3 linked regions of the Caenorhabditis elegans genome follow. The protein of the gene in region 1 purifies or fractionates together with the protein of each later gene. This does not show direct contact. Each region holds a gene or a part of one and is shown in the gene's direction. Other genes may lie near its edges.

Region 1 (10,091 bases):
AATATACTGAAGTTAATCAGAAAATGATAAACTGATTTATATTAGGACTAATCTTAGGTGGATCTAATGATTATCTAAAAATTATAAACCAGATAATACTGAAAAAATTCAAATTTACATTATTGTCAATTTATTTATGCATATGTGTATATTCATCAATGTAGAAAAATAAGAATAGCTTTTTTAATATTGCACGAGTTTTCTACAGGAAATACACTTTAGAAAATGTTTGAGACGTCAAAATTTCAAAACCACAGTTTCTAGAGTTCAATTAAAGTACGCTGACTACTAGTGGCAAAGGTGAAAATAGTTATAGCTCGAAAATATTTTCGAGAGCTATGGTCGAAAATTTCATGTTTTATGAGGATCTATCTCCCGGTTACATGACAAGAAATACAATTTTTATGAAGTAAATTTAGAAAATTCTTACAGTATTCTGAGTAATACTTCTCTGATGCGTTGTTGTAACCTCCAGAAATAGTAGAATAATTGGCACAAGAAGCATGGTTGTCTTCTCGATTGAAAGGACACAACCTCTGGGTGCCAAACTGTTTGCCAAAACCTTTCTTTTTCCTCCGATAGACTCCGCCTACTCAACTTTTTTATGTCTATAATGCTGCGTCTCTAGTGACACTTGTTTTTTGTCCTTTCGCGCATCTATGGCCTTAAAGATGTTTTTTTCCTGGGAGAAGAGAATTGACTGGAGGTGTTTCAAGGGATATCTTGATATCTAAGAGGTGAATTACAGCTGAGTCCGTTTTTTTTATATAGTGTTACAAACAGATTGAGGATGTTTTTTTTTGATGATGACGGAAAGAAGGTAGATGTGTAAAGTTAGACAGAAAAAAGAAAACATTACAGCAGTTTCTAACATAAGATTACATAATTTTATGATGATCAACTTATTTTAATAACTAAATATGTTTCAAATTTCCGAGTTCGAATACTTTAGCTTGGTCTTTTTTTTTGGAAATAGACATGTTCAAAATTGTGTTTTTTGCGGTACACTGTTCATCCGAAATTGACGAAGCTGGTTGCCTAAAATCCTAAATAATGCCGAAAAAATTCCATAAAATATTGTTGCTGAAGAACGCAGTTTGCGATTTATGTGTTTTATTACTCAGACACAAATTTTTGCTATTCTTGCGCCAAAAAAATCTCGACACGACACATTTTTGTTAAATGCAAACTGGTGTGCGCCTTTAAAGAGTACTGTAACTTTAAACTCTCGTTGCTGCCACTTTCGTCGATTTTAAAATATTTTTCTAAAACATTTTCTCACCATTTCCTAAAAATAAACAAACTACAGAAATTAGATGATATCCCGCTGAAAGTTCGAAATTACAATTAATCCGCAAGTTTGCATTTCACAAATATGGGTCATGTCGAGACCGGGTACCGTATTTTTGGAGCAAAAATCGCAACATTTCGCATCTGGGTAATATATTCTTCAATACCCATTTTTCTGCCATCTATTAGAAGGTGTTGAGTCTCCAATTATAAAATTTCGAATTGCCTCGTTTCTAAGAAGTTCAGTCCGCAAACACCGCTGCGTGCCTTGTTGCATACCGTATCAACAATTTTTTTTTTGAAATTGTCGTGCCATTCGAATTTTATTCAGCTTCTCGGTATTTCTAATTATAGAAAGGAAAAAATGGACAGCGAAATTTTAAATTATCCAATCCATCGATTCCTCGACTCGTCACTTCTCGGTCAGTTCATTGGGCCCGAAGGAAGCAACATCTACAAAATTGAAAAATATAACAAAGTTGCATTGGATATTTGGAAGAATGACGAAGAAAATTCAAATGTTCGTATTACTGGTCCGTATTGGAATCTGAAATCTGCTCTGAATGATGTGCTGGAACTGGTCTCGACTATCAGAAATAAAAATCAACGTTATAAATTCGAAATGCCGTCCAAAGACATTGGATTCCTCATTGGTGAGTGTTAGTAAAAAGAAAGTAAAAAGCAGGAAGAGGTACAAACCCAAGAACAGGTTACTGAATGGTGAAATATGTTTTTCGCACTTCATTATGCACACATGTCTTTGTTCTTTTGTTTTCCTTCGCAGTAACTGGCCCTTTTAGCAGGTCAGAAAGAAGTTCTTAATTATTGCTTTCATTTTTTCCAGGCAAGAACGGCGCCAAAATCAACGAAATTAAACTGAGTTCTAATGTTGATGTTCATTTCGAGCGAAACAACGAGAATAGAGATAATGGAGAAACAGATGGAAGAGTTGTTGTATCAGTCACAGGTTGAATATTTGATTAAATTAGTTGATTTCATATTTTGCAGTTTCAGGAAACTATCAACAAATTCTCATCGGATTGCGCTTAATCTACGATAGATTAACTTCGAAAGGACAAAAAACTCTATATGAAGATCCTCGCACACGCCAATTCGCTGAATCTCTTATGGAATCCCTCGATTAATTATTTTTCTGTTTAATATTTTCATTTTTCTTACTTCTCTTGCAAGGGAAATGCGCTAGCAAATTATGTTGGCGCATTTCCCGAATACTTGCGCGTTTCATGTGCGGCCGGCCGATCAAACACATTTTCTCTGATTTTATTTTTTATTTTACCATTTTTTGCCTCAAATCGCATTTAAATTCAATAAAAACTTTAAAATAATAATATATGTCTTGTCTTGCAGAAAATGTTGGGTAGTGTGATCCGTCAGGCAGTTTCCCGGCAAATTGTCCGAAATTCGCCAATTTCCACCACCGCTGCTGTTGCCCAGACCAACCAGACTGGCGATAAGAAAGAATCTCCAAAAAAACGTAAAATTTTCAATTGCATTTTACACAAAATTTAACAAAAAATGTTCAGCAACTATCTGGAAAATCGACGAACACAAACGTGAACGGTTGGCTAATTTTGGAAAGTATGCAGCCGAGTGCCTGCCAAAGTTTGTGCAAAAAGTGCAATTTGCAGCCGGAGACGAGTTAGAGCTCTTGATTCATCCATCAGGAGTTGTTCCAGTTCTTTCCTTCCTTAAAGTAAGTATTAAATCTTTAATTATAATCACACACAAAAATTTGAAATAAAAGTAACACTTTGACTTTCAGCTGCAATAGTAGTACATAACCATTTTTTATCTGGAAACTATTGTCGGTTTTACAGTTTTTTTAAATTATACTTCGTTTTATTAAAATTGAGAAAAAATGCACAAAAACCGTTTTTTCTTGGTTTAATGCTTGATTTATCAACAAAAAATCTAAATTTCCAGGGAAATCATTCTGCTCAATTCACCAACTTAACCTTCATCACCGGAATGGATGTTCCAACTCGCAAGAATCGTCTTGAAGTTATTTATTCGCTTTACTCTGTTCGATTCAACGCCAGAGTTCGTGTTCGTACATACACTGATGAAATTGCTCCAATCGATTCTGCCACTCCAGTTTTCAAGGGTGCTGACTGGTAAGAACTTTTAATTAATTAAATGTAATTTAAGTTTTTGAAAGAATTAGTTTATTTTAACTATTGTAACAGAAGTGAAATTAATATCAAAGATGGATAATACCAAATCACAATTACTATGAAAAGATATAAAAAAAATTGAACAAACTATTTCAACCTGAAAAGTTCGATCTGAAATTATTCCAATGCATTTTTTGATTGCTCCCGGATCCGTTGTTTCTCCAAAGACGGTTTTGTAGACTTTTAAGAATTATAATCATTTAAAAGTAGACTTTCGAATTTCTGCAGATTTTTAAAAAATTTTGAAACAAACTTAAAGTTACCCACCCCGACAAAAAACATGTGAAATCATTAAAAGTCTGCAAAAAACAGCCAAAAAAATTTTCGTAATAATCTTGCATAAACATGATGTGTCGAATGAGACAGAACTCGTTTGAAAACCACTTTTTTCTTTTTATTGTAATAAACTGAAAAATATCCAAAAAATCAAGATTACTAACAGAAACTGATGAACATTTATGACTTAATTATTTTCTGACAAATTATAGTCGTTTCCTAAATTATGGCAACTTTCTCAAAAGATTTCACCTCTCAAATCGGCCAAGTCACCATATATTTATTCTAATTTTTTTCAGGTTTGAGCGTGAAGTGTACGATATGTATGGAGTATGGTTCAACAATCACCCAGATCTTCGAAGAATTCTCACTGATTACGGTTTCGAGGGTCACCCATTCCGCAAGGATTATCCACTTTCGGGATACAACGAGGTCCGCTACGATCCAGAGCTGAAGCGTGTCGTCTATGAACCATCTGAATTGGCTCAAGAATTCCGTAAATTCGATTTGAACACTCCATGGGAGACATTCCCAGCCTTCCGTAATCAGTCGATCACCAGTGGATACGAAACGATCCTTGAAGTTGCTGAGCCAACACCAGCTACTCCACAGAACAAGTAGATAAAATGATTCCGATTTTTGTTTTAATTTTACTTCTTCTTCTGATAAATAGACTCATTTTCTGTTAGTGTGGATTTTTTTGAAAATATAAACATTAAAATTTTACGTGAATCAATTACTATTTTCTCCCAATTAGTTTTATTATTGATTGTTCTATTCGTCGTCTCTTGGAAAATCATTCCAATATGAGCAAGTCAGAGCTGGAAGTTCAAGTTTGGTTCATCAATCTCATTCACAATGAGAAATATTTCACGGCGAGATGGGCCAAAAGATATAGTGAAGTCACTGGAATCGAAGTTGAATCGGTAATTATCCGGCGAATACAAAAATACAGTACTCGGTCTCGACACGAATAAAAAACAGTGCGCCTTTAAAGAGTACTGTATACTCAATGTTATATTCGATTTGTTTCCTGTCTGTGAATTTTCAATTTATTTGATTCAGTTAATTGAAGTTTACAAAGTAAAAGGGTCTCAGAAAGAGAAAAATCAATAACAACTCTCGAAACAGTTATGAGTACTGTATCTCAAAGGCGCACATCGTTTGGCGCCTTTCTCGATCGTGTCGAGACCGGCTACCGTATTCCTGCTTCAACATGTGTGATTTGTGACATTGTGTGTGTGACATGTGTGACATTTACCGGCAAGGCTTACACCATTGCGCACAGTAGTTTTTTTGTCAACTTAAAAAAAAAGATAAAATCTGAATTTCAGTTGATCAAAGGAACAATTCTCTTTCTTCTTGGATTGTTGCTTGTGCTCAAAGAGCCTCACTACTTGGCAAACGGACTACTCGTAATTGCTCCCATTATTTTGACATACTTGGGACCATCGGATAGACCTGAAACAGGAATAATGTTCATTTATTGGACAATTTTCGGATTTTTTTATCTTTTCGATCGAATCTTGGAGTATATTCCATTGTATTATATCATCAAACTTGCCGTATTCATTGGACTTTTCTTGCCACCATCTAACCCAACTATCGAATTGATTCATAAGAAAGTCTTCAATATTCAATAGAAATTAATGAGTGATTGATATTTTATGATATTATGTTATATTATGAGAAGATTTTTCCACTTTTCCTTTTGTTTAAAATACGTCATGACTTGTACATGGAGACCTATGACATTTGATAGCCCATATTTTGAAATGGCTTCAGCTGCCAAGCTCAGGGCGAAAATTATTACTGGGATAATTTAATTTTTGTGGCTGAAAATAGAACAGTTTTTATGAATGTGAATAGCTTTAACTTTAACAATCCATACCATTCCAGACACTGATTAAAAACATTTAAAAATCACAAATAGATTTTTTTTTGTTTGAAAAAAATGGAAGTTTTGGTTAATATAATTTTGCCTAATTAGTGTTAGGGATGAGTTTAGGAAATTCTTTTATACCATAGTTATCAATAAAGGAAATTTATGTATCAATTGTTTTTCTGATCATCAGAAATCGTCTACTCAAAAGGTAATCACAGTAATCGTACATTCGTACATGGCTTGTATTAACTGCTATTAAAACCAATTTCAAATATAAAAAGTGAAACATAAATACACAAGTTTATTCCCAAATGTTCGATGCATAAAAAGGAAATATCTAGTTCATCTGAGAGCTGGTGGCTCCTTCACCAGTAGTTCCGCTTGTCGAATCAGCCTCTGTCTTCTTGGTCTTTGACTTGGAGCTCTTTGACTTTGAAGTATCGTCTCCCTTCTTTCCACCTTTCTTTCCTTTCTTTCCATCACTGTCTTTTCCCTTTTTTCCTCCCTTCTTCTTTGGCTTGTACTTGTCAAACACAGACTTCGAACGGTAGCAGACGAAGCTCATGACTGCCAAAATGACAAAAATAAAACCGCAAATGAGGAAGCTAATGAGCACATAGAGCCATGGTTGACTGACATCACGGGCGATTTTCTTCAGCGGATGGTAGTAGCAGACGTGTTTATTGATATTAACATACACGCAAACAGTTCCCGACTTGCAGTCTCTGAAAATGTCCCATTAAACACCAAATAAACCTTAAACTCACTTGTTAGAAGAGCATGCCGATCCCTTCACCTCAGTACGTTCTTCTCCAGTTAAGTGCCTTTTGCCCAAAATACCAACGCGATTAGTGTCAGGATCGCAAAATGCATAGGTGCTGAATTGAGATGGGATAGGTTTGTTAGCATCACACGGATAATTAGTCAAGTATGGATATGGGCCCAAGGTAGGCGTCGCTGACTCAGTACCATTTCCAGATGGTGCAATTGTCAGGGTAACTGAAAAATTTCAAATCGTCCTAAAAAAATCCGCTACACTAGAAAAGAAAAGTGAAACCTGGGGAATCTAAAACTCTTCTCCTTTTTATCGAATAAAAATCTTAATTTGAATGCTTACGTGATGGGCAGCAATGACCAAAGCGACAGACTCCGCCCTTCGTCTTGCACACTCCAGAACTTTCCTTTCCTTCAACAACATCTACACACTTTGGCTCATTATACAATGGTGTTGCATAGTCCAAACAAGTTCCGTGCTTGTCTTTCGTGACAGTGGATCCTATATCTTTACAGCATACATTCACTTTTTCGTCACACCACAATTCCAATCTCTTCTTATCCGACTTCAGATCTCCAGCGCAATCCTCGTACTTTTTGCACTGCATGAGGTTAGCAACTGGAGATTGAGTTTCTGCTGTTCCATGTTTGCATTTTGGTTTCTTTTTGAAGCAGCATACTTTATTGTTTGGATCAGAATACGATCGGCAATGATGACTGTACTCAGTTTGATTGGCGGATACTCCGGCATTCTGACAGTGCATGTCCTCTTTGCAAAACTGTGAATTGACTGGAAGAACTGCATGTGTCTTTTCATCATCAGCCTCGCTGCAAACATCAACTGAAAAGAAAACAAATTGTTAGAGTTCTAAGAACATCAGATATCTCGTACCGTGAACGCATATTCCTGGAACGGCTATTTTTTCCGGCTGCGTAACATTGGCATACACAGTGATATTGTCTATGTGACAAATTTCAGTCTCATTGCCACAGTCTTCGTTGTAATGGCACAGCTTCAGCCCCAAATCAACCTTAACATGCTTCAAATCTGGCTTGAGGTCTGGTTCTGAAATAACATTTTAATTTAAGACAAGTCTTGCACTCCTATTTACTCTGATAATCAGTTTTTTGGTTTTATCAAAAGTCAGTTAACGAAATTTTTGTTTTTGAAAGCAAAGACCCAAATGAGCTGTAATCAAATCAATAATTCTGTAATTTTCGGTAAAACAATCAGATAATGATTTGAAACTTTCTGGGGTAAAAACGGAAGCATCGTAAGATAAATTTAAAGCTTCAGATATAAAGAAAAGAGATACGAATCAATTTGCTACTTTCGAAAAATATCTATTGAACCTACGTTTGTAACAGAATTGCAAGGATGATTCTTTTGGACCACTTCTATCCAAAAATCTATGATTCTTGAAAGTTGGGTTATAAACTGAATCACAGAAGTTTCCATCTCCACATTCACTGTTGGTAGTGCACGTTTTAACTTTATATGATTGGTTATTTGCTTTAGACTTCTCTAATCCTTCCTCTGCCCATGTCAGTGGAACAACATTGGAATTTTTCAGTGTGAAAGAGAATGGAATCGCTGAAACGGAATTTGCCTTAAACTTCGAAACAATGTGTTACACTTACGACAAGCAACATCTCCGGATAGTGGATAATCTCGTTTGTACCAACGCGGATCGTCCGCCTCTCCGGTATATTTGTACAAAAACCCGGTTTGTCCACCAGAATGGTATGAGAACAATCGAGTACTTGGGCAAAAATCACCTAGCCTACCTTAAACAAGAACATACAACTGAATATACAAAGTAATTCTCACCGCAACAAGCAGAAGTCGATACTCCGGAGTTTTTCATCATATCTCGGTAACAAATATTTTCAGCAGCACACAATTCCGTACCATCCGAAACTCCTTGTTTTCTGTTATTGCAACCATCATCGTTTATGTCGTCTCCAGACGGGCATTCTAAAAAAATGTAAGAAAGTTTTTTCGAGATCAACTAGTTTAAAGTTTTGTAATTACTGTCTTAAAAATGCTGAGAACAAATGAAAAGACTGAAAATAAACCAAATATCCTAAATGCTCATAAAAAATCTTAAATGCCTGATACAATGTTATAAAAACCGTAATAAAGTGCCTAAATTAATTCATCAAATTTGAACACATTCTGATTCCTACAGCACATTTCAAACTAATATTAGATACAAAACTAACGGAAAATTAAACAATTTTAAGATTTAAAGTAAAAAATCGCTGAGTATGTCAAAAATTCTTGGGTCTTGTAACGTTTGACATGTAATTTGATCAAATACTTTTAAGCACGATGAGAATAGCCAACTGCCTATTTTTACTCACTAAAGTTTGGACCTGTTGGCGCAGTTACTGGTGCTGTTTCCGTTGTTAGTTCGGCCGTAGAAGTAGAGTCTACTGCGGATGCGGAGACTATCAAGAAGATGAGAAGACACGTTAAACGAAACGTCATCTTGCACGTGGAAACTGGAAAAAAGTGTCATGACAGTGTGAATTTGGAATTCGAGTTTAGCTAAAGTGAAAATGAGCGTTGGCTACTGATAAGCTACTGATGTTCGGAAACCCGAAGCGTTTGGAACAAAGACAAGTCAGACAGGTCTGTTTGCGTTCAATGCGTCCTCCTATTACTAAATTTCCAGAAAAATAATAATATGAAGAAATAGTCAAGAAATATGTACCGCAAAACGCAACAAACTATATAACGCAGGCAGTTAGCAGGCAAGTGCGCCTGATCACAAGGTGACATACACAACTATTTTGGCAATGAGCAACTTGGCCACTTGCCAGAATTATGCCGATTTTCTAGGCATTTTCGGCAATTTGCAAAATTGACAAATATGCTATTCCGCTTTTAAGGTTGCAAATCTTGCAGCCTCAATTTCCGCTATCCTGGTTCTGGAAATCAGCCTCTCCAGCAATTGCCGATTTTCATAATTTACGGCAATCGGCAAATTGCTAAACGTTCGGTTGCCGCACAGCACTGCGTGGAATCCCTGCCGTAGTAGTCCCACATATGATCAGCAAACTCACTGAACGATCCTCGGATGACGAACCGCAAACGATTGTTGTTGGAAACTTGACGAGAGGCTTTGCCAAAGTTTGCTTCAAAATGATTGTTTTTCGTCCAATTCTTCTCGTTTTATACCAAGTGACACGTGGCAATGGTATCTCTGGGCCATCATAGGCTAGGGTGTCACGTTTTGAAGACGAACTTTTAAATTTTCAAAAATTTCTATAAATGCTAAATATTTTTGTCTTTTTCCTGATATTGTTGACTTGTGAAAAAGAACACTGACCTCAGAGGTCACGGTTCAATCAAATTTGAATCAACCAAAACATGGCGAGTTGGACAAAAGCTCTTTGAAGATATTTTTCATTCGGGAAAATTTAGGAAAGCACACCACCCTGCTCGGCAGAAGTTCGCATCTCTTTGTCCAAGGTCTGCACGCTTATATTTAACCAAGCAAAGAGCTGGCAGACCTTGGCCAAGGAGTTGCTAAACTTTGGACAAAGAGCGGGCGCCCAGTGGTTTTCAGTGAAAAAATGCTAACTTGGACAAAAAGTGGGCAAACCTTGGACACTCTCGGCAGAAGCCCGCCACGTCTTGTCCAAGGTCAACCCACTTTTTG
Region 2 (12,259 bases), on another chromosome or scaffold:
GGTGCCATTCTGTGCACCTCCAAACTTGTGGAAAAATTCACTTAAAATATTTCAGACCGCGTTCTTTCAGAGGTTCAGAGGTTCAGAGTTGAGTTCCGCCGCTGAAATTTTTGTGGTGGCCTAGTCTAAACGTAAGCTTTCAAATTACATAGGCCTAGTGTTGAGGTCAGGGATTAAGTTGACATACTTTCCTTGTGAGTTGAAAAATTGATATTGTAAAAATAAATTTTGAACCGGCATTAACATTTTCTAAGATATAAGAATTTGGCTTGAAATTACGGGTCAGTTTGAGTAGACAAAGGTAGCAGAGAATTTAAGGTTGTTAGGCTGTCAAGACCTTTTTACTATAAAGCATTAGAATCAGTGGAAAAAGCAAAAGTGCACCTATGCTGTCTTGATTATTGAACTTTTTTTTGTTGATAAGTTCAGATTTAAGCTGATATACCCTGCGTTTTGTGTTCACACTTTTCAATTTCTCAGCCATATCAGAGTGCCTGAGAATGTCGACTGTTCCTTTGATACCTTCTCACGGCTAGTTCAAAGGAGACGTTATGAATGATGGAATTGGAATTTTTATTGGTGTCGTTTTAGATAGATCGATCCAAAAGATTACTACAGTCCCTTTTCTTGATGTGAGAAAAAGTATCTCTCGGTCGTCGTCTTTCCGTCAAAACTTTGAACACTCCCGACACCAATCAAATTCGATTCCGGTATATTCCTAACAAGGTGACGACGGAAAGCAGAAGCCGAGGCCAATTGAATGAAACATTCCACGTGACGGTTCCCTTTTATAATTGGACTCATTTGGAGAGCGGAAAACGGAAAACGGAAAATTTTCCAAGAATCAACACAGGATTGCCGAGAAAAACATCATTGACTAGTCAAAAACGGTGGACAATAAAATTGATGCCAGTTGTTTGTTGAGATTCTCGACACCAAAAACTAATAAAACGGCGCTTTATGGAGCTATTATTATCATATGATCTGAAGATGATTAAGCAAATCGTATTCATTCGATCAGGTACAAACATACCCGTTTGTTTCTTGTTTCTATCTAAAGTCTTGAAATCCGGATAAATTTTATTTTATATGCCGATGTTCCTCATTTTTTTTGCGTATGTTTTTTCTCGATTTATTGGGCTAGTGTTAAAGAATTTAGAAATTAAAAATATTCTTCTTTTCAAAATCCTAGAAACCTTCTTGAAAAATGAGGCAGAAACTAAGACGATCAAATACATCTCTTGTTGTTTCCAGTTGATTATTCGATTCTCTAATCAGCGTTTCTGCTTAGAAATTTCGTTTGATTCCATGATTGAATGAAGGAGAAGAGACATCAATTCAATGTTTCATACATCAAATATATCTTCAAAATTTCTTAAGCAAGAAAAATTGAGATGCATATCTGAATGAAAATTTTCTACATACATGTGTATGTACGTACATTCAGATGAAAAATCTGATATTGGCTATGTTAAATTTATATTATTTTTAGCATTCATTAAACAATATCAGAATTAATTATAATTTGGATTGAAAGTGATGAATATAAATTTTGGATTGACAATCTCGGCGAACGAAAAGATCGAAAGATTATCGTGTAGGTAGAATAAAAACCAGAATATCGTTCTTTTGTTCGTAGTCTGGTGATTAATGCCGTATCAGGAACTTTTGATCTCGATAAACTACTAGGACTGACCATTTGATCTGAATCAATTGTTATTCAAAAATCGAGATTGTCAGTTCTAAGAATTTCATATCCAATTCTGCTCCGGAGACTTTAGGTCGAAATTTTCAATTTCTTGAGGTAGATCTTGCTATTTGAAATTGTCATTGACAGTATACAATAATCTGAAAAGTTGAAACTCCGTTATATTCCAATTCTCTCATGACACCTGCACTAATCAGCGCGCATCTTTCCATTTTGCATCCTTGACGGAAAACAGTTCCGTTTGTCTTTTTCTACATTGCTTTTTCACATTCGGAGGTGCTAAGAAACGATTAGCAATGAAAGCGAAATGTATACACAGTAATTACGATAAAACTAATCCGACTGTCCGATTCTATGTGGCTACCTTAATTTTACTGCAAAGTCGAAATGTCAAAACATCGTTTTTTAAATACAAATTTCTTGTGATAGGGGTTTAATCTTGAAAGAATACTGTATACATAAACTGAGGGATGAGCATCAAACCAACCGTTCAGATCAAAAAGCATCTGTAATGGGTGATAAGCGTTCGGAGATTTTAAAAATTCTCTGATAAGAAGACATAAAAGTGTAGTGGGAAGACTTCCGCCAATCAAGTCTTCTAAGCCGATACATCTTGGTCGATAATTTCTGATCGCGATAAAAAAGATAGCAGCAACAGTGCTTCAAATCACCGCAAATTTACAAAGCCGTCCAAATCATTTGATGACGTTATCACACGGCGAGGGAGAACGAAAGATCATGTTCTGCATGAAGTTGGACCCAAAGCTTGTTCTTTGTCTTGTCGTGTTATTGAAGTTTTTTTGGCACTCCGATCGTTCTGGCAAATTTTTTCTGCAGTTCGAACTGGATCAGACAAGGAATCTCTGATACACTGTCGTAAATTTTGTACTGTGAAAACTGCAATTTATTGCTTAATTGGATTTAGCACAGAACTTTGGTACTGTCCAAAAAAAAATGCAGCTAGTTTCTTTAAACTGATATGTCAAGCATATTTGGGCACAGACAAACATCATAATCTTCGTAATGAATGTGTATTTCCACCATGCATTTTAAATATATTTTGAAGTAAATGCCATAAAAATGTATCTTTAAAGGGCTGAAACTTTATTTGCCGTAATTGTGTTTTAGACAATGTTAAAACTAAATAAATCAATTAATTTTCATCTATATTCCAATTAAGAAAGGTACTTTTAGTACTAGAGTTGGTTTTTCCAAAGCCTTGAATTAGAAAACATATTCCACACATTTGTATCTTTTTTAAATTAGCAAATTATTTTAAAAATGTGGGCATCAAGTACCAATATATATCTATTTGCCTATTTATTAAAAATCTAAAATTTTAAGTCATAAAAAATAAAAACGTCTGGAGTTTTTTGTATTCCCAGGTTTAAGAAATAATCATCACTTAGCTTAATGAAGTAAAATGCATATCATGTTTAAAGGAAATAAACAAATTGGCAAATGAATAAAATTTTAATTTGTTTCAAAATTGTGTGTGCCGTTCTAACATTTGTGTAAAGTTGGTTGAAGTTGAGGATAAAGTGCGCACTTAAAATTACTGAAAGTTAGCTAGGTTAAGATTGCTAAATTTTTTATTATTAAAAATAGCTAAAATTAAAAAAAAAAAAAAAAAAAAAAAAAAAGTTGCTAAATTAGGTTGGAAAGTTGCCAGAATTCGCGGAAAAGTTCGTGCATTTTAATTAACCACATTTCTTGTTTTAAATAGTTTACAAACCTGAGGAAAACTTCAAAAACTAATGCAACACTATTTTACGCTATTAGTGTTCTTTATTACTTCCTGTTGACACCTTAAGTTTCTTTTTATTTTACAGATATCAACTATAAAAAAATGATTCACAAATGATTTGTCTGGTGATATGAGCTGCCAAACAAAGAAATTAAAATTTTTAGCAATTTCAACTGTTGTAAAAACTTTGAATCACAAAAATCTTCCAAAAGGTACACAAAAGCGTATTGATATTTTTGCATTGTTCATTTATGTCTTGTAGAAAATATACACAGTTTTCAATATCTTGACCTACTCAACAAGGTACTTGACCAAGTCCGATTTGATTCAGTTTTTCGACAACCCTGATCTTGTTCTCCTTTTCCTTCAATCCCCCGCACATCGCCTACAATCGCAGTCACTTCAAATACAAAAATGATTTCGTTCTCGCTGTATATCCTCCATACCTTGTATCCACTCATCACGATGCTTCTTCAAAATTGACCGCAACTAAAGTATACACATACATAGAGAAATTATTTCGGACTTTGCGATTCCCAATGGAGAGGTGCAGATTCGCCCTCCCCTCCCCCCTCCTGAAGAAATCTTGGCGGGACGAAGAAGTGGGCGGGCGGATGCGGGAAGACAAGGCAATCTTCTGGACTAATTCATAAAAACGCGCTGAAATTAGTGGAAACCGGGAAAACGAGGAGGTGGGAGGTGCTTGTATCTTCCCAACGTATAAAAGTGACCAGAGCTGTAGTTTTGCCATGTTGGATGTTTTGGCAATTTTTCCACCTTGCATATCCCGACCTCATTCGCCCAGCCTCCTTTTCCTGCCCTCCGCTGGGTTTAACACCGTAATCCAACAATTACACGGTGTCGTCGGATTTCTTCATTCAACTCTATTCATTGTCTTTTTCTTTTTCTTCTTCTTGTTCCAAACTATCCAGTTCTCTTCGTTTCACTTTTTTTGAAAATTGTCTTCCAAATTTTATTGCTCAAGCTAAAAATATTCTGACTTTTAAAATCCTTGTATTATTAACGTTCCAATAAGAACAAAAATATATATATGTATGCTGTTCTGTTTCCAGAATGACATTACTCAACTTGTTTTATTGTTTCTGCCTACTATTTGGAGCAGTTTTGGCGGATTCCATTCATGATGGTGGATCTTGTGGTACGAATTCAATTCCTTACAAAATGGAAGTAGACAGCGAAGGAAAACCAGGTATTTACTAATTTTCCAGAGCATCTCAAAAAATTATCCATTTCAGTTATATCATGTGAAGCGCCATCCTGCCTTGGAGTTTCAAGCTCTGCAGCAAGACGCCCAAGAGTTTTGGATGTGGTGAGAGATACTTGAAAGACCTAGGCGCCTAGCAGTAAAATTATTAAGAAATCGATTATTTAGAGAAACTCTTTCGGGGACATAATCCTTGGACTGTAAGTGGCTCTATAATTTTGTGCGATTAAGAAAAATAGAGCGGCCATTAAAAAAAAGTCAATTTCGTAGAAATTAACAGATGGAAAAGCTAAACCATTCAAAAAAAAATTCAATAAGGACGCAATTCTAATTTAAAAAAAACTATAATCTAAACTAAAATTGGAAAACTATGGTTTTTGCTTTCTGAACATTTCAAACCCAATTTAAAAAATCTATTTGAAGTAACGCCGAACTCATTACAAAAATAGAAGCCTTGAAGAAATCGCAGAGAAAAAAGCTAAAACATATGAAGAATATTAAAATTATTCTGTAAGAAGAAACATTTTGAAAACGTAGTTAGAGCTAATACTTTCATAGAAGAGAAAACATAGACAACTGTTTCAGAAAAAAAACATCGAAATTTCAGTTTTTTTGGGTCTCAATACATTGATGAATTGCATCCTACAAAATTTTTTGCAAAGCTTCTTGCTATTGGTTCAATATCTTATCCATACCGTACCTATATATTTGTCACCATCTCCGATTTTTCTCACATCATCGCTTTATCTTAGATCAGTGCGCCCGTTGATTATACATCCCGAATGTGTCTTGTTTGAATGTAAGGATGTTTCTTTCACCCATTAAGCTTTACGATCTTTGAGACTTATCCAATTAAAGTGGCTAACTGAATCTTCGCCCGATTCGTCTCGGCCGAAGCCTATTCATCTTTTTTGATGTTCCTATTTTAATTGTGACGACGTCAAGCGTACCAAACAAGCTACGTATGCAAGCCAATTAATTGCGATGCGAGATTAGAAGTACATGAAACACTATGACCGGAATCGTTCCTCCGGATGAGTCGTCGTTGACCGAAAAAACTTTTGGCGGGCGTAGTATAATAAAACTTGATTGAATGATGTATAGCATTGGAATATTTTTCCAGAGTTGCGACCCTTTCAAGGAGATTGTCTGCGTCAAAGACCTGCAATGGACTTCTGGGCTTGTGGAAATCAATAACGGAACACATAGAACATTGAAAACCGAGTGTTGTTCGTACGAAGGAATGTCTGATGCGAAAACAATCAAGAGCATCTTCCTTGGACCAGGACAATCGTTTGTAGGAGGAATGGTGGAAAAGGATGGAGAGCAATCAGGATTCGATCTTATCAAGGAGATTAGGAAGACTGTCAACGCAGATAATCAGTAAGAGAAATTTAAATGATCGGGTATTTTTGGAACAAAGTTTCTTATTTCAGAGTTCAATATATTGTTGGTGTCTACCGCATGCCTTGTGAAGCCACCTCCGATTCAAGTAAATTTTTTGAAATTTTGAAATATTTTTGCAATTTTAAGCTTCACTGTTTTCAGGCGAGGAAGCTCTTCCATTGCTTTCAAGAAACAGAAGAAAGCTTCGTGATAGAGTTGGAAAATACGATGATTATGAGGAAGACAGAAACTATCGCTCTGAGAGAAGACGTCCGTTTGCAATGAGAAGACGTGCCCTCCTTCAAAGACTCGAAGATATGTATGATGATTACGATTACGAATTCCGAGTTGTGAGACGACCATTCAGAAAGTAAATTTTATCCGGCATTTTTATTTAAGCCGAAAAATTTTCCAATTTAAGAAGCCGCCTTCCATACAACGAGAATGCTCTTTGGCCACTGCAATACTCCTCGCCACAACGTTCCCGCACATTTGCCGACAACACGTACAACAAAGAAACAGGTTTGTTAACGACAATGCAAGACGGAACTGCCGCTCTTTCTAACTATGGTGATTCTTCAGTAGAATCCGGGCCGCTTCCTCCACCACCGAGCTCCAACTACATTGACGTGAGTTTAGACTAACCCATACATCTAATGTCAACTAATTCTACTAGTACTAACTTTCTAGTCGCAGAATGTTGCCCCAGCTTCGCCTGTCGTTCAATCGCCAGCCTACCCACAGACTCCAGCAGAAATGCCTCTGCCACCTCAATCAGGTTCATATTCTGGATCGTATAGTGGTTATCCAACTGCTGATGCAAGTCAATACAATGCGTACCCTGCAATGCAGCAACCAGCATATCAACCGGCCTACCAACCGGCCTATCAACCAGCCTACCAGCCAGCCTACCAACCAGCATATCAACCAGCATACAGTGCAAGAGGATACTCGGTATTTTAATTAACAATTTTAATTCATTTTAAAAATAACGTCATTCTTCAGCCGAATTTGAATGGGCTGTTCGGTGGAACTGGCATGCAGTGTTTTTCCGGAGATATGGAGGTAGAGACAGAAGACGGAATCAAGATGATCAAGGATCTCAAGATTGGCGACAAGGTTCTCAGCATGGACGAGGCTTTTGTGACGTATTCGCCCGTTATCATGTTTTTACACAAACGGGATGAAGAGATCGCGGAATTCAATCTCATAGAAACAGCCAATGGTCACTCAATTAAACTGACCGATAATCATTTGATCTACGTGTCTGACTGCCGTACTAGATCCGACTTAAAGTAAGAAATTAATGATTTAACAACAAGTAAACTAATAATTATCCAGATTGGTCGCCGCGAAAGAAGTCAAAATGGATGATTGCATTCACGTCACCACAGACAGCAATGTCGTCATCAAGAAAAAGGTATCCAAAATCAGCAAGGTCATCGAAACTGGAATCTACTCTCCACTTACTTCCACCGGAGATATTATTGTCAACCGAGTTCTGGCTTCTTGTCATTCCAACTTGGCGTTGAAGTCACTTCAACAAACTTTCTTCTCACTCTACAAACGTACTTCAAGTGTTTTCCATAATTTGATGTTCTTCAAATCCTCCACAGAAGAGGGAGATCTTCCAGTTGGAGTCGAAACTTTAACAAGTGTCATGGACTTGTTTATTCCTCAATCATTTGTATGATTACTAATCAGTTAATATGTATAAGTTTATAATAATTGTACGTTGTTTAATAATGTTTTTCTTGCTTATGCTTTTTATGCAATGATGTTAAAATATGCGGTTGAATTGTGCATTTGGTTGCAGCTGCTTTCTTTCACTGTCGCCTTGCCATGTTGTAAAATAAACATAACTTATTGAGTACAAACACTTTATGTTTCCTTATTTTGCTTTCCATTTTCAGAGCCTACAAAAAATAAGGTACCGTACTTCCTCTATTAGTCTTGCACCACTACGGGTTAATCGAAAATTTTTCTTGTCTTGCAGCTTCTAATAGTCTTGCATCAATCTTTTTGCTGTAAGCAATACTTTATTTAAACTTCAGAAAACTTGTCATTTTTTGGACAAATGAAACTTAAAAGTGTTCAAATTGATGATGAAATATTGAAGAAGTATGTACATATTTTTCCTTGTTTAAACTATATCTAGTTAAGTTTTCAAGAAAAATTGGTAACTGGTAACAATTGGTAAGAATTGGTAACAATTATTGAGCTTTCAAAAATTAGTCTTACAGTCGTAAAAAAACATACGATACATGTTCAAAGATGATATCTCGTGTGTCTTTTTGGGAAGCATTAAAAGGATTGTCGAACTAGACACTTAAATATTTTTGAAATATTATGTGAAATTCATTAAAGTAGTAATTATAAATTAAACGTATAGTTGCGCCAGTGAGGACTTTGTTAAAAATCATGTATAGGGTGCCAAAATGGCCAAAGGTTATAGTAAACCTTTTTTATAAAACTTTTACTGGCAGTCAAATGAGCTTCTGCAAATTTTTGTGAATGCTATAGCACTGTCGCATGTTTGAATTCCCACAATGTTAGAATATTACTACTTGAAAAATCAATAGATCATAACATTCGGAAAAGACTTCTTTTTTGAACGGCGACTTCCAGAAAGTTGCAAAACTTGAGATTTGTCTATTAAAACAAATCATAGGTGTGAAGTTTGTTTCCTATTTTTAATATGGTGCCATAGGAATGTTTTAAATCCAAATTTATCAACTAACTTTTTTTCATCTTCAATTTCTGGATTGCTACGCGGACCAGGGAGCAAAAAATTACAGAAGTTAGTACTTTTTGGTATAAACGACTATACTGAATAATTTTTGGAAGAAAAAAGTGGAGCTTCCTATTAATTTCCCGGGTTTTTGAAATTTGGGAAAAATAGCTTTTGATCAATTATACGTGCACTGACCGAAAAATAATAAAACGTGCTTTGACCATAGAAAAATAAACCATTTGCACTGACCAAAAAAAAAATAAAAATTGCACTGACAAAGAAAAAGAAAACAAGTGCACTGACCAAAAAAATGAACCATTTGCACTGACGAAAAAAGATGAAGCGTGTACTGACAAAAAATAAAACAAGTGCACTGACCAAAGAAAAAAACACGTGCACTGACCAAAGAAAAAACACGTGCATTGATCATTGAAAACATTTGCACTGACCAAAAAAATGAACCATTTGCACTGACGAAAAAAGATGAAGCGTGCACTGACAAAAAATAAAACAAGTGCACTGACCAACGAAAAAACACGTGCATTGATTATTGAAAACATTTGCACTGACCAAAAAAATATGAAGCATGCTCTGGCAAAGAAAAAGAAAACAAGTGCACTGACCATAGCAAAAAACACGTGCACTGACCAATGAAAAAAACACGGGCATTGGGATCATTGAAAAATAAAACATTTGCACTGACCAAAAAATGATGAAGCGTGCACTGACAAAAAAAAATAAAACTTGCACTGACCAAAGAAAAATAAAAAATTTTCATTGACCAAAAAAGATGAAGCGTGCACTGGCAAAGAAAAAGAAAACAAGTGCGCCCTGACCATAGAAAAATAAAACATTTTCACTGATTAAAAAAAAGATGAAACGCGCACTGACCAAAAAAAAATTAAATGTGCACTGACCAAAGAAAAATAAAACATGTGTACTGACCATAGAAAAATAAAACATTTGCACTGACCAAAAAAAAAGAAACTTGCACTGACAAAGAAAAAGAAAACACGTGCACTGACCATAGAAAAATAAAACATTTGCACTGACCAAAAAAAGATGAAACGCGCACTGACCACAAAAATTAAATGCGCACTGACCAAAGAAAAATGAAACATGTGCACTGACCATAGAAAAATAAAACATTTGCACTGACCAAAAAAAACGCGCACAGACCACAAAAAATTAAATGCGCACTGACCAAAGAAAAATAAAACATGTGCACTGACCATAGAAAAATAAAACATTTGCACTGACCAAAAAAAACGCGCACAGACCACAATAAAATTAAATGTGCACTGACCAAAGGAAGATTCAGTTTAACTGGACTTTTTCAGATTCCGTATCCGTGGGGATAATTTCTTTTTTATTCTAGAACTTTTTTCTAGAATTATTCTGATATAACCGAATAAATGTGTCATGACAAGTTTATAAAATGTGTGAATTTAGATGAAGACTTTTTATAAAATTAACAATTCCTGAGAAATTATCAAAACATTTTTAAAAAATGTCTTTTTTTCTATAATCTTGGTGTTTGCGAAACACATGGTACTTTGAAAGTGCGTATTGCCAACCGAAGTTATTCGAAACAATTGTTTCATGTAAAATCCACGTTTTCGTAACATGTACACGATATATGTAATTCGAGTCGGTTTTCAGTGTTTGAAAAGAACTGACCGAGTGTTACAAAACATGTCTTCTCGTTTTTGTGTCAGACGACATAGAGAATGAGATATATATTCAGGACACCCCATATCATTTACCTTTGCCGCGACCCTGTTTTAGTGCAAACTCTCTTTTTCCTCTCTTTCTTGCTCTTTCTTGCTTGTCTTTAATGTTGACCTTTTGTCATTTGGTCCCAATTTTGATCTTTTTGAAAAAAGATGAATGAATCCAGACATTTTTCTTTGCGATTTGATTTTTTGTTTTGTTTTTCGATTAGGTTTCTCCTGGAAAAAACATATCAGAAGGTCCCATTGATAACATTGTGACGTATTATGTTTTGCAATTTTTTTCTTCGAAATAAACATCGGATACTTTGGGTTTTGTTCCTCCCAAATAGTTTTTGATAATTTAGGCTGAACTAAAATCAATTTTCAAAAATTGAAAGATACATAAAATCAATTGATGTCAGCAAATATTTTTTTAGAGTTATAATTCCTTTTTTTCTTTTCCACCCAAAACACCTTGTACCATTTGTCAACCTTTAAAACATTTTTCGAGAGTTATATTTTATCACTAAGAAGATAATTCCTAAGAAGCTTATGGCAGTGCTCAAAAGGTCAAGAAGACGCTCATTGTCGGTGGCCATTAGTTCAGAAATAGCATTCATTCTTTAAAAAATTATTCAAATTTATTTTTATCCTAAAAATATTCTAAAAGAGAAAAATATTCTACAAAAAAAATTCAATTCTGTAAAAATATTTTGTGCACGCAATTAATTAAATTTTTTATAAAATATTCTACGAAAACTAGTTCATGTTGTAAATTTTTCTTCAAATTGTTTGTAATTAGTACTAGACGAAAATATTTATTTTAAGTATTAAAAAAATGCTCGGAAGGTTAAAAGTGCATTAACATTTTGAAAAACCTAAAAGTGTTTTTAATCTGACATTTCATTCTGCAATGTTTGATTTGTAGATAATCTTTATTTTAAAATTGATCACCCTTCTTAGAACCTTTAACAAAGATAGACAAGTTTTCATTTTAATTTCAAAATTTTCAAATTTTCAAAAAATTATTCAAGGTGAAAAACGTTTAAAATGCCAAAATGGTCAAATATCATGTCAAACTTTTCAAAATGTGTTTTTTGAAAATTCTTTATTGACAGTCAAAAACTGGCTATCACTGAGTAAGTACCACTTTTTGAAACAAAATAAAATGTGTTTTTTAACAATTACTGAAAAGTTTTACTGTAACCATAACTAAACTATAAAACTATCAACAAAAAAAAAATTTCCATTCTTTTAAAAGTATTACTATGATATTTGGTTCCTTTGGCATTAAAGAAGTGGTTTTTGACAACCTCCCCACTCCACTTTCAAACTTTTAGAAAGTTTTCAACGAAACCTTTTTAAAACACTCTAGTCATTCCAAAAAGTTACAAATAACAGCAACACAATAAGTGATTGATGTGACGATACCTTCTCTGATCTTTCTTCAATCGCCATACAATATATGTGAGCGAGCCACAAGAGAGTTGTTACATCTCACTCGTTTCCACCCATCCCTCACTTTCGAAATGACATCAGAGCAGAACACGGGCTCTTGTACGTGTATCAAGTCGACACGACGAAATTGAGAAGGTTCCGGATTCCTGGGAAATGACTAGCATATACATGAGAATCGTCCACTCCTCGTCGTCTCATTTTTCCAGTTTCATTTTTTGTAGAGTTTTGCAAAAAAAAATGGTATTCCTAGTGTCTCACGCTTCATGTTTGCATTTTGATGGGTTTA
Region 3 (11,232 bases), on another chromosome or scaffold:
TTTTTGAAATTTGGTCGCGGATTTTCTGGGCCACCGTTGCATATTTCGCAATAATTTTTACGGGAACGTAATCTCCACGTCACCAGCTTTCATTTAAGTACCCACACGGCAAGGTTTAATTTTTGAAATTTGGTCGCGGATTTTCTGGGCCACCGTTGCATATTTCGCAATAATTTTTACGGGAACGTAATCTCCACGTCACCAGCTTTCATTTAAGTACCCACACGGCAAGGTTTAATTTTTGAAATTTGGTCGCGGATTTTCTCGGCCACCGTTGCATATTTCGCAATAATTTTTACGGGAACGTAATCTCCACGTCACCAGCTTTCATTTAAGTACCCACACGGCAAGGTTTAATTTTTGAAATTTGGTCGCGGATTTTCTCGGCCACCGTTGCATATTTCGCAATAATTTTTACGGGAACGTAATCTCCACGTCACCAGCTTTCATTTAAGTACCCACACGGCAAGGTTTAATTTTTGAAATTTGGTCGCGGATTTTCTGGGCCACCGTTGCATATTTCGCAATAATTTTTACGGGAACGTAATCTCCACGTCACCAGTTTTCATTTGAGTACCCACACGGCTTGGTTTAATTTTTAAAATTTGGTCGCGGATTTTCTCGGCCACCGTTGCATATTTCGCAATAATTTTTACGGGAACGTAATCTCCACGTCACCAGCTTTCATTTAAGTACCCACACGGCAAGGTTTAATTTTTGAAATTTGGTCGCGGATTTTCTCGGCCACCGTTGCATATTTCGCAATAATTTTTACGGGAACGTAATCTCCACGTCACCAGCTTTCATTTAAGTACCCACACGGCAAGGTTTAATTTTTGAAATTTGGTCGCGGATTTTCTGGGCCACCGTTGCATATTTCGCAATAATTTTTACGGGAACGTAATCTCCACGTCACCAGCTTTCATTTAAGTACCCACACGGCTAGGTTTAATTTTAGGCTTTTTTTCGGGTTTTTTGAAATGAATATCGTAGCTACAGAAACGGTAGTACACTCTTCTGAAAATACAAAAAATTTTCAATTTTTATAGCTAGGACACTTTTTGTCTGCCCAAATATAAGCAACCAAAAATAATTTCCAAGTTTTTGATGATTTGTTGCATATTGAAAAAAACATTTTTCGGGTTTTTTGAAATGAGTATCATAGCTACAGAAACGGTAGTACACTCTTCTGAAAATACAAAAAATTTGCAATTTTTATAGCTAGGACACTTTTTGTCTGCCCAAATTTAAGCAACCAAAAATAATTTCCAAGTTTTTGATGATTTGTTGCATATTGAAAAAAACATTTTTCGGGTTTTTTGAAATGAATATCGTAGCTACAGAAACGGTAGTACACTCTTCTTCTGAAAATACAAAAAATTTGCAATTTTTATAGCTAGGACACTTTTTGTCTGCCCAAATATAAGCAACCAAAAATAATTTCCAAGTTTTTGATGATTTGTTGCATATTGAAAAAAACATTTTTCGGGTTTTTTGAAATGAATATCGTAGCTACAGAAACGGTAGTACACTCTTCTGAAATACAAAAAATTTGCAATTTTTATAGCTAGGACACTTTTTGTCTGCCCAAATATAAGCAACCAAAAATAATTTCCAAGTTTTTGATGATTTGTTGCATATTGAAAAAAACATTTTTCGGGTTTTTTGAAATGAATATCGTAGCTACAGAAACGGTAGTACACTCTTCTTCTGAAAATACAAAAAATTTGCAATTTTTATAGCTAGGACACTTTTTGTCTGCCCAAATATAAGCAACCAAAAATAATTTCCAAGTTTTTGATGATTTGTTGCATATTGAAAAAAACATTTTTCGGGTTTTTTGAAATGAATATCGTAGCTACAGAAACGGTAGTACACTCTTCTGAAAATACAAAAAATTTGCAATTTTTATAGCTAGGACACTTTTTGTCTGCCCAAATATAAGCAACCAAAAATAATTTCCAAGTTTTTGATGATTTGTTGCATATTGAAAAAAACATTTTTCGGGTTTTTTGAAATGAGTATCGTAGCTACAGAAACGGTAGTACACTCTTCTTCTGAAAATACAAAAAATTTGCAATTTTTATAGCTAGGACACTTTTTGTCTGCCCAAATTTAAGCAACCAAAAATAATTTCCAAGTTTTTGATGATTTGTTGCATATTGAAAAAAACATTTTTCGGGTTTTTTGAAATGAATATCGTAGCTACAGAAACGGTAGTACACTCTTCTGAAAATACAAAAAATTTGCAATTTTTATAGCTAGGACACTTTTTGTCTGCCCAAATTTAAGCAACCAAAAATAATTTCCAAGTTTTTGATGATTTGTTGCATATTGAAAAAAACATTTTTCGGGTTTTTTGAAATGAATATCGTAGCTACAGAAACGGTAGTACACTCTTCTGAAAATACAAAAAATTTGCAATTTTTTTAGCTAGGACACTTTTTGTCTGCCCAAATATAAGCAACCAAAAATAATTTCCAAGTTTTTGATGATTTGTTGCATATTGAAAAAAACATTTTTCGGGTTTTTTGAAATGAGTATCGTAGCTACAGAAACGGTAGTACACTCTTCTGAAAATACAAAAAATTTGCAATTTTTATAGCTAGGACACTTTTTGTCTGCCCAAATTTAAGCAACCAAAAATAATTTCCAAATTTTTGATGATTTGTTGCATATTGAAAAAAACATTTTTCGGGTTTTTTGAAATGAATATCGTAGCTACAGAAACGGTAGTACACTCTTCTGAAAATACAAAAAATTTGCAATTTTTATAGCTAGGACACTTTTTGTCTGCCCAAATTTAAGCAACCAAAAATAATTTCCAAGTTTTTGATGATTTGTTGCATATTGAAAAAAACATTTTTCGGGTTTTTTGAAATGAGTATCGTAGCTACAGAAACGGTAGTACACTCTTCTGAAAATACAAAAAATTTGCAATTTTTATAGCTAGGACACTTTTTGTCTGCCCAAATATAAGCAACCAAAAATAATTTCCAAGTTTTTGATGATTTGTTGCATATTGAAAAAAACATTTTTCGGGTTTTTTGAAATGAATATCGTAGCTACAGAAACGGTAGTACACTCTTCTTCTGAAAATACAAAAAATTTGCAATTTTTATAGCTAGGACACTTTTTGTCTGCCCAAATATAAGCAACCAAAAATAATTTCCAAGTTTTTGATGATTTGTTGCATATTGAAAAAAACATTTTTCGGGTTTTTTGAAATGAATATCGTAGCTACAGAAACGGTAGTACACTCTTCTTAAAATACAAAAAATTTGCAATTTTTATAGCTAGGACACTTTTTGTCTGCCCAAATATAAGCAACCAAAAATAATTTCCAAGTTTTTGATGATTTGTTGCATATTGAAAAAAACATTTTTCGGGTTTTTTGAAATGAATATCGTAGCTACAGAAACGGTAGTACACTCTTCTGAAAATACAAAAAATTTGCAATTTTTATAGCTAGGACACTTTTTGTCTGCCCAAATATAAGCAACCAAAAATAATTTCCAAGTTTTTGATGATTTGTTGCATATTGAAAAAAACATTTTTCGGGTTTTTTGAAATGAATATCGTAGCTACAGAAACGGTAGTACACTCTTCTTCTGAAAATACAAAAAATTTGCAATTTTTATAGCTAGGACACTTTTTGTCTGCCCAAATATAAGCAACCAAAAATAATTTCCAAGTTTTTGATGATTTGTTGCATATTGAAAAAAACATTTTTCGGGTTTTTTGAAATGAATATCGTAGCTACAGAAACGGTAGTACACTCTTCTGAAAATACAAAAAAGTTGCAAATTTTATAGCTAGGACACTTTTTGTCTGCCCAAATATAAGCAACCAAAAATAATTTCCAAGTTTTTGATGATTTGTTGCATATTGAAAAAAACATTTTTCGGGTTTTTTGAAATGAATATCGTAGCTACAGAAACGGTAGTACACTCTTCTTCTGAAAATACAAAAAATTTGCAATTTTTATAGCTAGGACACTTTTTGTCTGCCCAAATATAAGCAACCAAAAATAATTTCCAAGTTTTTGATGATTTGTTGCATATTGAAAAAAACATTTTTCGGGTTTTTTGAAATGAATATCGTAGCTACAGAAACGGTAGTACACTCTTCTTCTGAAAATACAAAAAATTTGCAATTTTTATAGCTAGGACACTTTTTGTCTGCCCAAATATAAGCAACCAAAAATAATTTCCAAGTTTTTAATGATTTGTTGCATATTGAAAAAAACATTTTTCGGGTTTTTTGAAATGAATATCGTAGCTACAGAAACGGATACAGAAACGAAACGAAAACCATATCAATTCCCCCAAAAATCCAAAAATTTTTTTTGCAAAAAAGTGCAGTCATATGCTTGTTGAAATTGGAATTCAAGACAAAAACCCCTGTAGCGCGGCTGGGATGGAATATCTAGGTTCCAGAAATGTACCCCTGATATTAAAAAAAATTAGCAATTTTTTACCATATCAATTCCCCAAAAAATCCAAATTTTTTTTTTGCAAAAAAGTGCAGTCATATGCCTGTTGAAATTGGAATTCAAAAATTAGGTCCTCGGTGACTGCGACAAAAATGTTTGTTTGTTTTTTCTGGGCGTGTTTTTTTTCCTTTTTTTTTTGGGATGAAAAAATTCGCAAAAAATTTTCCTCCCGTACAATCGACAATTCATTCAAACCAATTAGTTTTGAACTCTCCTGTGAATGCTACAAAAAACTATATTTATTCTTCATTTGGCTTCTCACTAGTTCTCGCGATTCTCTTTGATCGAGAAATGTAATTTGTTGCTTGGAACAGAAAAGTGGAAAAGGGTAATACATGGCCTCTTTTCCTGTGTCTTTTTCCGCCGATTTCGTGAACATTAATTTACCCGCAACCGTTTGATGCGCCGTTTGCCCTAATTTTCCGTTTCTTGACTGTTACTCAATGAACAGATTGAATTCTCTCTCTCTCTCTCTTTCTTTTTTCACTTCTTAATTATTGTTTGCTATCCAACACCTACTTTTGTTTTTGTATTTGATGTTCTTTATTCTTGTTACTTTAAATTTGAAAAAAAAACGAATTTTTAAAAAATAGGGTTTGTCAATTTGTACAAGGAAACGGAATTTTTTCGTTCAAAGTTTCAAAACAAGACGTATGCCCATCAGATTATTTTGTTTAAACGAGCTTACGCAAAACACTTTTAGCTGTAAAGCTCCTACTTCAAAAATTTTAATTTCAACTTGAAAAAAGTTCAGCACATTTTCCCCAACTACCGAAATCTGAAAAATTGCGCCAAAAGTCGTTTCTTATACATTTGAAGTTTTCAGAACGTTTTAAATTGGCAAACATTCGGGAACTGTATTGATGGTGCTTATTATCCTCAAAGTTGGACTAGTGCCAGCGGGGAAATTGTTTTAAAACATGCCTATGGTACCCCAATGACCAAATATCATAGTAAAAAAAATTTTTTTTTAATTTTTGCTAAATTTTTATATGATTTTTTGAAAGTTGAAAAAATCTCGAATTGCATCAAATTCCCACTTGAATTGCCGCCAATAGTTCGATGTTCAATGGAGTGCGCTTGCCATATTTTTATCAATTTTTCTCATTTATGTCTGAATTTTAATTTTTTTTTTCGTGTAATTTTAGTGAAAATTTAGTGAAAAATTCAAGATAAATGTAAATTCTTTATCAAAAAGAGGACAGTGAAGCGTAAACCTGTGCAATTGATTGTTTCAGGCTCGACGTCGTTGGAATACGTTCTTTCTTTGTTTTTCAATTGTTTTCAATGCACAATATACATTTGTGTTGAATTTTTCACTAAATTTCTACTTAGATTACACGAAAAACATCAAAAATCTGTCAAAAATGAGAAAAATTTATTTAAAAAAATGTATATTTCAAGCACACTCCATCGAACATTGAACTATTGGCGGTAATTCAAATGGGAATTTGATGTAATTCGGGTTTTTTTCAACTTTCAAAAAATCATATAAAATTTAGACTAATTTTTTAAATTTTTTTTACTATGATATTTGGTCATTGTGTTACCATAGGCATGCCTTAAAGTAATTTTCCCACTGGCGCTACTCCACCTTTAAGCCCAGATTCTCTGAAAAATTAGAACATTTTTTGACTAAATCATTTTGAATGGTCAAAAGATGTAAATTTCAAACATTTTTTATAACCTATTTTCAAGATTATTTTTCAATTGACACAACTTGTAAATCTTGCAGCTCTTGGTATCAGAATGCGTCTTCTATCGTCTTCATTGCTTGTCTTGTTTCTTACTCAGTTTGTATCGTCCGAAAAAAAATGTCCGGCTGTGAAAAAAGGTAACCTGAACGAAGTAAACGTTTAGGTATAAAATTGATTGCGCAAAAATCTCTTAAAATCAATTGTTGTAAAAACAAAATCATGAAAATTGACTAGTGAGTTTTTATCGCTTTTTGACTTGAAATAAAACATTTTCAAAAATCGTTTGAAACGTTTTATTAGTCATTTTAGCAACATTGAAATAGGTTTTGAAAATGTACCAAATGTCGTGCTTAACCTTTACAATAACTCAAAATTAAGGCCCGTTCACTCAAGTTCCCATAATATATCTGGAATGGAAAAAAATACAACATTTCTTAGTGAGTCTACAACAGGGCTAGCAAATTGGACGAATTGGGTATAAAACGCGTCCCGTTGTCCGGTTTTAACCCGATTCGCCATATTCTACACATATATATATATATATATATATATATATATATATATATATATATATATATATATATATATATATATATATCAGCTTTGCTCTATGTTAATACATGCGTACAAAAAACATTGGTTTTCAGGGGCTTGCTGCACAGCACCTATCACCCCAGGATGTCGACTTCCCCGACAATGTTATAAATACATAATGTCAAACTGTCCAGACAGAAAAATTGCAGTTTTTTCCAGAAAAGTTGGAAATGATCGCCGCTCTGCTCCGAGAAAACCGTTGGTCAGTTTTATTTTGTACTGATATAATTGTTTGAGCCCAAGCTAATTATCTTAAGCTCGAGCATTTGGGCTCGAGCTCTAGCATCTCGGCAGCAGCATTTGGGCTCCTAATATTTCAGCTCTGAGGTTAAAAAAATACATGATTTCCATTAGTACTGTTCCAAAACAATTGTTTGATAATTAAGGGCAAATGTGGAACATCGGAGGTAAACTATCAACCATGCACTTCCAAGGGAATTGCGAACAAACTCTTTTTGTCGTGCTGTCAATTGTATGTTCCAGAAGAATGCCATCACATGTGTGTGTACGAAACTGATCAGTCGGTTACTAGAAATATGGTAAGTGTCCAAAGTAAATTCAAAATAGTAAGTTGCCTAACGTTATAAATGACAATAAAACAATTGTGTTGTGAGTACCTCTTTTATATTTCCAAAAACAAACTTTTTGCAGCTGACCAACATGCGGAAAGATAGCCAGTGCCGAATTAAACACCTGTCGTCAATTTTGTACTGTGCCAGCCAGAACAGAGATAATAGGAAATGCTGCTTGGATTTAGATCTCAATGCCCCTCAACTTCAGGTATATAAATAACTTGGAAGATTTTTTTGGAAAGAGTTTTCTATGGTGTGTAATTAATTGGTTATATCTCAAAAACCGGTAAAATATACATGTAAGGTTGTATATGCGCTTCTCAAAACACTGTTTTGCCTCACTGGTTCAGGTTATTAAGAAAACTGCTCCTATGAAAACTTCTCAGTCTCAAGTTACAGATGTTCCAAAAAGAATTGACAAAAATGAGCTCGCAAGGTGTCGGGCGTTGTATCTCTTGACTTTAATGTTTTGAAACGTTGAAACATGTGTGTTAAGATGTAGATCACATATTGGGCAACAGTTAATCAGTTCAACTTTTCTTTCAAAATTTCCTAACTTGAGGTATACTCATTTGAAAACTATGGCAAATTAGCGCGGCGCGGAACCCAGATAGTGTTGGCTGCGTGGGGCGCCGTATCATGGAAACCCGTTTATGTCAACTAATGATAATAAAAACTTAGGTTGGATCTCGTTGCTTGCGAATGTGTGATCCATCGGGTACTTCAATCGATAGAATAACCAAGGAAGATGTGACTTGCCTGTATAATTGGAATGTTATTATGTACTGTCATCATGCCGGAATACGCGAAATGTAACTCAACCACTTCATTTATTTATCTTTTTTAAGTTCACCCTTCAGCATACCAAAGGTTACATTTTTGCAGCAGTGCACTTATAATGTTGATAATAATAAAATATTAATTGGAATATGATGTTTGTTATCTTATCAGGCAATAGTCGACATTGATAAAAATTGGAAGATTGCTTTCAAATTGATTTTTTTTTCCAATTATTTTACTTTTTGAAACATTTCATTTTACAATTCTATTGTTCCTTGAGAAAAAAACGTCATAAGTTTTGATTTTTTGCAATGCGTTCAGTTATTTTCTGAACGAAACGTATTTCATTTGAAAGGACTTCTTCTCAATAGTCCACTACAAATAATTTTTATGCATATTCAGGTCAAATGTTTATTTTATGAAGTTTCATAGACATGGAGACATTTTTATATCTTTCAAGACAGCCTTTCAAAAAATTAGTGAAATTGTTTAATCAAGTCCATTAAAAATGTTAAATAAGTAAAATGTTTGTCGAATTTTTTGAATGTTTTTTTTGAGTTACTGGAGAATGAATCAAATGATTTAAAGTGGTCGTTTTTTACAGTAAAAAAGTATTATATTTTGAATGACTAATGTATTTATTTGATAATATAATTTCTTTCAGTAAGATACTTTATGTGTCCTATGCCTTTCCACTTCTAAAGCCAGAAGTGAACTGATTGGAAATTTTTTTTTAAGTTTCAATTTTGTACCCAACCGTAGAGTTCGTATATACGAGCATTCTCATTAATTTGCCAGTGTTTCAAAACAAAAATTCCAAGAAAAAAAAACTCTATAATTGCCTCATTTCTTCTGTTAGTCTGGCTGCTTGAATTTTGAATTATAAATGTTGACTCAGGACTTATTGCCAGCCCTAATTAAAAAGAGTATTTTTTCTATTAGCATGGTATTTGTATTGCACACATTTTTTACACAATTCCTATGAGATTGAAGTTATTAAGCCTTTTTGTTACAATTAAAATAAAATTGTCGAACTTCCATATAAAGTTTAAGTCTTTTCAAGTAAAAAAATAGTAAGTCCAAACACAGAAAAATGTTCTGAAAATTCCCTAATAACGGAATGACCTTTGAAAATTAGTATTGTAGCCATACTAACAAAAGAAATACGGCAATAATATCATTATAAAATATTGTAGTATAGCTATAACGCAAATACCAAACCTTCATCAGTGTGTGTAATAGAAAGAACAAGTGTCCTACTCAAACATACCAATAAACATACAACAATAAGGTGGGCCCAGGGAGCGCACGTATCATATCCTCTTTTTCTACACATACACCAGATGATGGAGCATCATCAGACAACTGACTTCAATTCGATGACACTCTGGATTATATGTATCAAGAGGGGGAAACAATTGAGGGGAGGGGGCAGATGAAAGAATCGTCGCTTGTGATTCTCAATTCAATTTTCATTTTTCTGTGTCTGTTTACAATATTAGTAGAGAAAAGCATTTGATATATGAACTAATGTTTTGGGGTTTGTATCATAGTTTTTTAATCACAAAACTGAAAACTTTATTTTTATATATTGTTCATGCAAAAATGTTAGCATTTCCGGTTCATGATGTTTTCTATCAATTTTTGTTGTGATTACATTTGCAAAATTATTTATTTAATCTTAAAGGTGGAGTAGTGCCAGTGGGAATTTTGTCTAAATACACTTATTTTGATCAAAAACGATCGAATACCATAATATAACGTTCCAAAAATTTTTTTTAGTGTTTTCATAATTTCTGGGCGAAGTTTTGGCAAATTGCCATAATTTTGAAAAATAAGAGCTTTTGAGGAAATCCAAAGAAATTACGCTTATTCCGAGCCCTATGTACAATGTTTCAATACAAATAATTAAAACAAAATTGCACTATAAAAAATAAAGGAAAATTTTTTTTTTGGTCGACTTTCAAAATGAGTGGCAAAAACGAAGTAATTGTCACTTTTTGACAGTTGATAAAAAATGTTCAAAAACCTTTTGAAAAGTTTTATTGTGATCTTTGGTCATTTTGGGACCAAATGAGTGGTTTATAACAATTTCCCCACTTGCGCTACTCCACCTTTAAAACACCAAAAAGTGTTAGGCTGTTCTATATAATTTGTGCCCAAAAAATATGACATCAGCATGTTCTTAACAATGAAAAATCTGTTGAGAACTCTGAGTCTCTTCTCCTGCATTTTTTCAATAGATCTACGTAGATCAAACCGAAATTTTTTTCGTGCATTTTTTTCAGTCTTAGAAGGGATAGTTTACTTGGCCTAAGAATACAAAAAATCCACAATTTTGTTTCTATAATCGAAGAAGTATTGTTTTAAAATGCATGTATGTGATACAAATGAATTAAATTTTAAACAAAATTGAAAAATTACTGTTTTGAAACCTGCAAATCTTATCTGGCCTAAATCAATGTTGACAGTCCGTTTACAATGAGTTTCATTTTTGTTGCTCAGATATCAAATACACAATTACACGTAAACTTTTGAAAAGTGTATTCATAGTTTCAAAGTTTTCGTTTTTTCTTCGTCCAGTCATTTCTTACAGTAATTTTTGATTAAGTTCTTAACTGTAACTGTAATTAATTCAACTCCACTTTTAAATAATCTCGCAACATTTGTTTGAAATGTTGTTGTTCCAGAACAATAGTTTATATGTAAATGCCGTACGTCGGAGTTGGAGCACAAACAGGTAATTGTGTCATTTTTTGTTTGTGTGCATTTTTGACTATGGTTTGAGGTGACCCTAACAGCTGTTCAGTTGTTCTTTTTGCAAGGCATTTATTTCAAAGCCAGCATCTCCCTTTTCATGATACTTTTTCTTTTAAAAATTTTGAATCACACAAATTTTTTTTAATGGGGTAGCGCCAGTTTTTCTTCCTTTTTCCAATAAAAATACACAAATAATAAAGAAATTCAGTAAAATAATGAGAAAAATAAAATAAATTAATGAAAATACTGCAAGTGCGCTCCACCGAACGAATTCAGTTGGCGGAAATTCAAATGTAAAATCTAGAAAATTTTTTTGAATTTTTTTATCATGATA

What was found.
Region 2: the proteins of T10E9.6 (region 1) and wrt-6 fractionate together in Caenorhabditis elegans (co-fractionation; one large-scale study listed by BioGRID). This does not show direct contact.
Region 3: the proteins of T10E9.6 (region 1) and dbd-18 fractionate together in Caenorhabditis elegans (co-fractionation; one large-scale study listed by BioGRID). This does not show direct contact.

What each region holds. Positions count from the first base shown.
Region 1 is NC_003279.8:6,524,531-6,534,621, reverse strand, and holds T10E9.6 (Receptor expression-enhancing protein), read left to right. Parts: upstream 1-4,522; 5' UTR 4,523-4,567; coding exon 4,568-4,687; intron 4,688-5,095; coding exon 5,096-5,404; 3' UTR 5,405-5,456; downstream 5,457-10,091. Other genes in the region: cpg-22 (DOMON domain-containing protein), read right to left, coding at 431-505; T10E9.14 (K Homology domain-containing protein), read left to right, coding at 1,655-1,943, 2,135-2,257, 2,299-2,435; nuo-2 (NADH dehydrogenase [ubiquinone] iron-sulfur protein 3, mitochondrial), read left to right, coding at 2,662-2,785, 2,835-3,004, 3,235-3,425, 4,061-4,382; T10E9.4 (uncharacterized protein), read right to left, coding at 5,984-6,371, 6,414-6,645, 6,764-7,261, 7,313-7,486, 7,778-8,014, 8,062-8,208, 8,252-8,398, 8,788-8,914.
Region 2 is NC_003284.9:3,475,725-3,487,983, forward strand, and holds wrt-6 (Warthog protein 6 N-product), read left to right. Parts: upstream 1-4,525; 5' UTR 4,526-4,529; coding exon 4,530-4,665; intron 4,666-4,711; coding exon 4,712-4,785; intron 4,786-5,803; coding exon 5,804-6,063; intron 6,064-6,116; coding exon 6,117-6,172; intron 6,173-6,228; coding exon 6,229-6,436; intron 6,437-6,487; coding exon 6,488-6,588; intron 6,589-6,648; coding exon 6,649-6,695; intron 6,696-6,762; coding exon 6,763-7,020; intron 7,021-7,071; coding exon 7,072-7,361; intron 7,362-7,407; coding exon 7,408-7,759; 3' UTR 7,760-7,942; downstream 7,943-12,259. UniProt on the Caenorhabditis elegans protein: Intercellular signal essential for a variety of patterning events during development.
Region 3 is NC_003284.9:291,004-302,235, forward strand, and holds dbd-18 (DB domain-containing protein), read left to right. Parts: upstream 1-6,230; 5' UTR 6,231-6,244; coding exon 6,245-6,329; intron 6,330-6,839; coding exon 6,840-6,988; intron 6,989-7,172; coding exon 7,173-7,325; intron 7,326-7,437; coding exon 7,438-7,566; intron 7,567-8,039; coding exon 8,040-8,174; 3' UTR 8,175-8,284; downstream 8,285-11,232. Other genes in the region: gcp-2.1 (Glutamate carboxypeptidase 2 homolog), read left to right, coding at 10,848-10,878.